Linked DNA regions of Sus scrofa. The protein of the gene in region 2 purifies or fractionates together with the protein of the main gene of each other region. This does not show direct contact. Links are inferred from orthologs where the notes say so. Each region holds a gene or a part of one and is shown on either strand. Other genes may lie near its edges. The genes, in order: SMC4 and NCAPD3.

Evidence for each region.
Region 1: the proteins of NCAPD3 (region 2) and SMC4 purify together in Homo sapiens (co-immunoprecipitation; 3 studies listed by BioGRID and IntAct, with this or other methods). This does not show direct contact. The link is inferred for Sus scrofa from reciprocal best matches to the Homo sapiens genes NCAPD3 and SMC4.

The regions. Positions count from the first base shown.
Region 1 is NC_010455.5:100,101,902-100,105,720, forward strand, and holds part of SMC4 (structural maintenance of chromosomes protein 4), read left to right. Parts: intron 1-280; coding exon 281-466; intron 467-3,258; coding exon 3,259-3,420; intron 3,421-3,819. UniProt on the Homo sapiens protein: Central component of the condensin complex, a complex required for conversion of interphase chromatin into mitotic-like condense chromosomes.
Region 2 is NC_010451.4:60,733,245-60,737,063, forward strand, and holds part of NCAPD3 (condensin-2 complex subunit D3), read right to left. Parts: intron 3,235-3,819; coding exon 3,120-3,234; intron 3,032-3,119; coding exon 2,921-3,031; intron 1,713-2,920; coding exon 1,474-1,712; intron 843-1,473; coding exon 763-842; intron 1-762.

The DNA.
Region 1 (3,819 bases), on a different chromosome or scaffold from region 2:
ACCCCTCTTCTGTTTGCTCTGTCAGTCAGTGCACAACTCTTAGAATAACGCCATGTTTGTATTCCTTATTATTGGCCTAGATAATTTATGCCTCTTTTAAAAGAGAAAACCCCTCCATATTTTTCAAAATCAAACCAGCAGTTAAAATATGACAGCTCAGTTCTGTTTCAAATGTTACTGGTCTTTCCTTTTTTTTTTTTTCTTTAAATATTACAACTAATTGTATGCTATGATAGGGTGTATGCTTCTGGGATTCATTTTCTTTATTTTTCATGTTTAGAAAGAGAAAGAACTTCAGAAACTTACACAGGAAGAAATTAATTTCAAAAGTTTGGTTCGTGATCTTTTCCAAAAAGTTGAAGAAGCAAAGAGTTCCTTAGCAATGAATCGAAGTAGGGGGAAAGTCCTTGATGCAATAATTCAAGAAAAAAAAACTGGCAGGATTCCAGGAATATATGGAAGATTGGTAAAGTAAATTTATGTGTAAATAACTATACGTCTTTCTCAAAGACATTGTAAATAATTTTCTTACTTTACTTGAGCTGCACGTTGAGTCTCTTTATGCAAAATAATAACATTTACTTTCAGGAGTTCCCATCGTGACTCAGCAGTTAGCAAACCCGACTAGCATCCATGAGGTCGTGGGTTTGATCCCTGGCCTCACTCGGTGTGGGTTAAGAATCCGGCATTACCATGAGCGATGGTATAGGTATAGGCTGTAGACGTGGCTTAGATCCCACATTGCTGTGGCTCTGACACAGGCCCGTGGCTACAGTTCGATTGGACCCCTAGCCTGGGAACCTCCGTATGCCTTGGGTGCAGCCCTAAATGACAAAAAAAAAAAAAAAAAAGAATAAATAAAAGACATTCACTTTTAAGCATTTTGCTTTTCTACTCAATCATGAAAAAACCGTTGTGGAATGGATTCTTCATGTTAAAAATGGTTTTTTCGTCTTGTTCATGGTTATTAAATGTATAACAATATATATTGATTTTGTAGTAAGAGACACAATAGCATATCTTAAAATAAGTCATCAGTCTGAATATTATGCAAAATTATCTCTTCCATGGAGAAACTATTTCATGCAGGTGAGGATGGATAAAGGCTAAAATAAGGTGAAATGAGTTATAAATGTACCTAGGTTGGAAATACAGCTTTGAAGTAAAACTATTTTATGCTCATGGATGATTTCGCTTGTATTCAACTCTTACTTTTTTCTCTTTTCAATTTACTGTTGTTATTTGATAAAGGAAAGATGAAGAATATTAATAGTTAAATAAAAGAAAATTGAACTAGTTTTTTTGGTTTTGGATAATTATGGTCATTTTAAGAAAATGACCTGATTCTAGTGACAAACTTCACAAAACTACTTTTTTCCTTTTTTTTGAAAAAAAAATTTGATAAATTAAATTCTGGATTTTATATCATTTTACTGAAGGCTGTGGCTAGAGTTTAGGGAAATCAAGGGTGATAGGACCTAAAGCCTGAATTCATAATCCTGAAGTAGGAAGGGAGCTGTGGCCCTGGCTGGAGGGTTGCTGGGAGGAAACGGGGGAGATAAATATTTCAACACCATTCATCTACCCTGCCATTTCTAGCTGGTGCCTCACATTGTCTAAAGCTAGAGAGACAGAGGAGCCAATTAATGCAGTCTCTGAGTCAGCCTCCCAGAGAAGGAAGCAGAATAGAGAGATTCAAAAGGGCAAATGAAAATTACCCACCATAGTTGCTTTCAGATCTGCATGTCAGGTGACTTCCACTTTACTTTTTGAAGATAACACAATTTGATCATATTCATTTGCTCTCAAGGCAAAAATGAAGCTAATTGGTTAATGCTCCTTGATAGCTGATTTATTAATAGACATAATCTTAGATGACTTCCAATAATTTGTTCTTATTCTGAAGTTATTTTGCTTTATAGTATTTTTCCCCCCTCAGCTGCACCTGCAGCATATGGAAGTTCCCAGGCTAGGAATCAAATCCAAGCCAGAACTGGAGTTTCCCTCGTGGCTCAGTGATTAATGAATCCGACTAGGAACCATGAGGTTGCTGGTTCGATCCCTGGCCTTGCTCAGTGGGTTAAGAATCTGGTGTTGCCATGAGCTGTGGTGTAGGTGGCAGATTCAGCTCAGATCCCGCGTTGCTGTGGCTCTGGCGTAGGCCGGTGGCTACAGCTCCGATTGGACCCCTAGCCTGGGAACCTCCATATGCTGCAGGAGCGGCCCTAGAAAAGGCAAAAAGACAAAAAAAAAAAGAAAAAATCCAAGGCAGAACTGTGGCAACGCCAGATCCTTAACCCACTGCAGCACAGCAGAAACTCCTTGTTTATAGTTCTTTTTAGGTTTCAAGTCTTCACATGGTACATTTTCAGTTACATAAAACAAAAACAGTTCTCTCATTTTATGCTCATTAAATATTCAAACTCTATATCCATAAACTTTTTTTTTTTCTTTTTCTTTTTCTTTTTCCATTTTATACCCACACGTGGCATATGGAAATTCCTGGCCATGGGGTCAAATCAGAGCTGCAGCTGTAAGCCTACACCACGGCCCTGGCAACACCAGCTCCAAGTTACATCTGCAACCTATGCTGCAGCTTGCAAAACTGGATCCTTAACCCACTGATTGAGGCAGGGATCAAATCTACATCATCACAGACACTGTGTTGGGTTCTTAACCTGCTGAGCCACAAAGGGAACTCCCATAAACTTCTTTTTTTTTTTTTTTTTTTTTTTTTTTTTGGTCTTTTTGCTATTTCTTGGGCCGCTCCCACGGCATGTGGAGGTTCCCAGGCTAGGGGTCAAATCAGAGCTGTAGCTGCTAGCCTATGCCAGAGCCACAGCAACTCGGGATCCGAGCCGTGTCTGCAACCTACACCACAGCTCACGGCAATGCCGGATCGTTAACCCACTGAGCAAGGGCAGGGATCGAACCCACAACCTCCTGGTTCCTAGTCGGATTCGTTAACCACTGCGCCACGACGGGAACTCCCCATAAACTTCTTTAAAAGGTAAATTAAAAATTCTAGTAATGATTGCCTCTGCCGAAGGGGAAGGTTGAATGTGAGGAACACTTAAATTTGTTGTTATATACTCATTTTGTTCTTTGTAAAACCATATGTAGGTATAGTTCTTTAATTAAATGCAACCTGAAAACTATATGAATAGTAATAAAATGATCCTATGCCTAATACCTTGCTGATTGTGCTTTTTTTTTTTTGCTTTTTTTTTTTCCTTTTCCTTCCCTTTCTCTTATTAGGGGGACTTAGGAGCAATTGATGAAAAATATGATGTTGCCATTTCATCCTGTTGTCATGCATTAGACTACATTGTTGTTGATTCTATTGATACAGCCCAAGAATGTGTAAACTTCCTAAAAAGACAAAATATTGGAGTTGCAACCTTTATAGGTTTGGATAAGGTGGGTATTTATAATCTATCCAGAATTTAAAGTGCCAAGTGGGAAGCCCCATTGCGCCTTAGCAGTGACGAACCTGACTAGCAACAATGAGGATGTGGGTTAGATCCCTGGCCTCACTCAGTGGATTAAGGATCTAGCATTGCCATGAGCTGTGGTGAGATTAAAAGACGTGACTTGGATCCTGCATTGATGTGGCTGTGGCGTAGGCCAGTAGCTACAGCTCCCATTCGACCCCTAGCCAGGAGCTTTCATATGCTGCACATTCCGCCCTAAGAGAAGGCAAAAAAATGAATGAAAGTGCCAAATGTTTTGGTTATGGTTGGTGGAGGGGGGCGGTTTGTGTGCTTGTGAGGTTTTTTTTGTTGTGTTTTTTTTTTTGGTTTTTTTTGTTTTTTTTTA
Region 2 (3,819 bases):
CCTTAAAAATAAACATTTTAAGAAAATGACAGGAGATGAATTAACAAGGGGGAAAGCAACCCCCTTGCCTTCCAATTCTCAGGAAACAGCCATTTCCAAGGAACTTTGTAAACCGTACACTCTTATTTCACACAAAGCGATCCTGTCTTAATTCCGAGTTCTTCTTGCAGTTTCTGCACTTGGAGGGAAGTCTGAACTCCTGCTAACACTGGCTGGCTTCTGCTCTGACAGGTGACCAAAGGCAAACACTGCTCTTCATTGCTCCGTGTGAAGGAGCAGAAGTGTCGACAAATGTGGTCAGTGGCAGGTTAGTCAATGGTTGACCTGGGCGAGGGCTTTTTTTTCCTTTTTCTTTGTCTTTTTAGGGCTGCACCTGCAGCATATGGAGGTTCCCAGGCTAGGGGTCTAATCGGAGCTGAAGCTGACAGCCTATGCCACAGCCACAGCAACATGGGATCTGAGCCACGTCTGCGACCTACACCACAGCTCATGGTAACGCCAGATCTTTAACCCACTGAGCAAGGCCAAGGATCGAACCTACGTCCTCATCAATGCTAGTTGGGTTCATTAACCGCTGAGCCATCACAGGAACTACCAGGCTTTTTTCTTTTTAAACTTACAAGCAAACTAAAGCTTTATTATATAGCTTAGTATTTTAAAAATCACTAAATCGTACATAAACAACTCGCTTTTAAAGAAAAGAGATCTTTGCCAGAAATTAGGCCAATTGCTGGGCTGTCTGGCATAAGGGAAAAGGCTTACCTGGCAATAGCCAAGTCTGGGTCTACCAGTGTGCTGACAAACCGGAAGAACAGGGGGCCCTTCCACTTCACGAAGTCCTCCTGCATGAGAGAAGGCATCATGGGGGCTTCAACATGCAGCCCCTCTGTTTCCAGGGCCATCTGCACTCACCCCACCCACCCCAAGAGCACAGGGCTGTGGGAGAAAAGGACTCAGAGCTCCTGCCCTGCAGGAAGAGGGTCAGAGGCACCCTTGTGATGTGCACACCATAGGAGACAGTGAGGGCCCAGAACAGACACAAATCACTTAAATACCTTCTGATCAAATAGTATTTCCCCTCATGTGGACACATCTCCCAGGCTCTCAGAGCATGTCTTTGGGGATGCCGGGGCAAGGGTAAGGGTCCTCACTGTACAAATGATGATGTTCCATCTGGGAACACGGACCCTTCAAAGAATGGGAACTAGACCTACTTGTCTATGTAAACTTTTCTCTATGTGCTGAGTATTTGTAAAAATACCATTTCACCCTGCAAGACTGGGTCTCTGAACAAACACCCAAAAGGAATATTAGGAAGTAAGAATCTACTTAAAAGTCTGTTCAGAACACTGGAAGAGTGGTATCTGAAAGTGCAGTTGAGGCTCCTGTGACTCTACTACACAGCCACCTTCGGCGCTGCCCAGGTACCCCTGGGCCAGGAGCAGGCCGGTGGGGGCAAGACCACCTGCGCACCTGCAGCAGGTCAGTGAGCAAGAGCAGCGTCTGCCTGCGGATGAACGGCTCTGAGTCCTTCAGACACGCAGAGATGTTGGGGATGTACTTGTCCACCATGGCCGTGTACCGCTTGCAGAGATCACACATGGTGATGACGACGTTGTTGCGGACGGCCATGTCGCTGCACACCTCCAGCTCACGCACCAGGGCTGGGATGCTCCTCTTGGCGAGATCCTCATGCTGTAAGCACAGCTTTCCTGCCACCAAGAGAGGGATACCCTGATTCTTTATTCTATGCCTTCTCTCCAGCTGTAACCTGCTTTGGATATTATTTCATCAAAGTCAAAACATCGACAATCACAAAAAATCAAAGGCAGACATAACTCAAACAAAACAGTAAGAAGTTCAAAATACCACCTGCCCAACCCAGGGTGTCCTGAGATGGACACTCTGAGATGTTCCTTTACTGCAGTAAAGTCACCAGCGCTTGAGTTTTGGAGCTAATTACCTGGAAAATGACCGATAAAACCCATGATACATTTTACATCTCTCTCTTTTTTTTTTTAACGGTTGCACCTGCAGCATATGGAAGTTTCGAGCTAGGGGTCAAATTGGAGCTATAGCTGGGGCCTACTCCACAGCCACAGCAATGGCAGATCTTTAACCCACTGAGCGAGGCCAGAGATCAAACCTGCATTCTCATGGACACTATGTTGGGTTCTTAACCTGCTGAGCCACAATGGGCAACTCCACATTTTACTTTAGATTATACTTATAGTTGATAGAAGCTAAGAAATTGAAGAATGAACTTGAAATGTGAGTGAGTCAAATACACAATCATGTCATTTATCACACCTTTTTTTCTTTTATTGCCTGGGGAATGTTTTCCTCTTATTTACAATTCTTAGATTTTTGAAAAAAAAAATTACTACAAAAAGATTTGTAACTCATACCAAGAATAAAATATAGTCACAAGAAATTGAAGGAGTTTCCTGGTGGCTCAGCAAGTTAAGGATCAGGCATTGTCTGCTGTGGATCAGGTTGCAGCTGTGGTATGGGTTTGATCCCTGACCCTAGAATTTCTGCATGTTGTGGGCACAGCCTCCCCCCCAAAAAAATCAAAATTCAAATTATTGCATAGATGTCAGTCTTCTCAAGATAAACAACCATATGAATTCATGGAAAGCATCAGACTATCTCTTTATAAAGTGACCTGCAAATTTATTTCTTCATTCCTAGAACTCAGTGCAGTACCTGGCATACAGATCTTCATGAATAGGCCTCAGGGTGTTATTGCAAGTATAAAAAAAGTCACAGGAACAGGTTTAAAGGTAATAAATAGAGAGTGTACTGCAGATCTGGGTGCTTCTATAGTTGCCTCCTGAGCTCAGGGGCTTTTTAAATCACTGGCTTATTTAAGACAAAACCACATGTGGAGGTGGCTGCCCCAGGTCTCCTTACTCACCCAAGGCAATGACGGCATGTGCTCTGATCACGGAGGGCATGATGGAGCTGTGGATCCCTGGGAGGGGTTGGGAGGCTGTGGCCTCACTGCCGCCTGGATCTGAGGCTGGCACTGTAGGAGGGAAGGAGGTTTACTGCTCTACTCCGGGGGCTAACCCAGCCTGCAGGCAGCAGGTGCAAAGGGTAGGCAGGTGCCTTACAGTGGTCCGTGCTGGGAGAAGCAGCCAGGATGGACTGGATCAGCAGGAAGGCTCTCTTGTCCACTCTAGCTGGACAGAGCTGGGCTACGTCTCCTAAGGTGAAAATGTACTTCACCTGCAGAGAGAATTGGTTCTGCAGTAAGAATAAGGCAAGAGAAAAATGAACTCTAGCAAGATTAAGGCCATGTCAGTGAAGTACTTGTACCTTTTTTTGTCCCATATTAAATGACTGTTTCCCCCCATAAAAATACAAGGCCATTGTAAAAATTCATCCAAAATCAGGGTGATATACAGTTTTATCATCTATGTCTAGATACTCCTTCCAGTCAAAGGGGTGCTGCTCACAACTGCACCGCAATAAAGTGAATCACAGTGTTTTCAGGTAAGTGGGGACACAGAACAGCCACTAACTGCAGATACCGTCCTTGATTTTGTTTGACTTTCTTTTCTAAGTCACAGTCATAGTTCCAGGGCTTCACTTTGCTCTTCTCACATACTCACCAATCACATGAGGGTGAAGTCTGTGATTCTTTAGTATCAGCATCCTTTCATGTTGATATGTAAGATAAATAGGTTCAATGACTACATAAGCATGCTAAACCTCACACTGACCTAACCCTCTCCTGACCTAACACCACTGCCCCTGGAGAGCTGAGCAGGCTGGGAGGGCACATGATCTGTGGCAGCTCCGAAACCCACT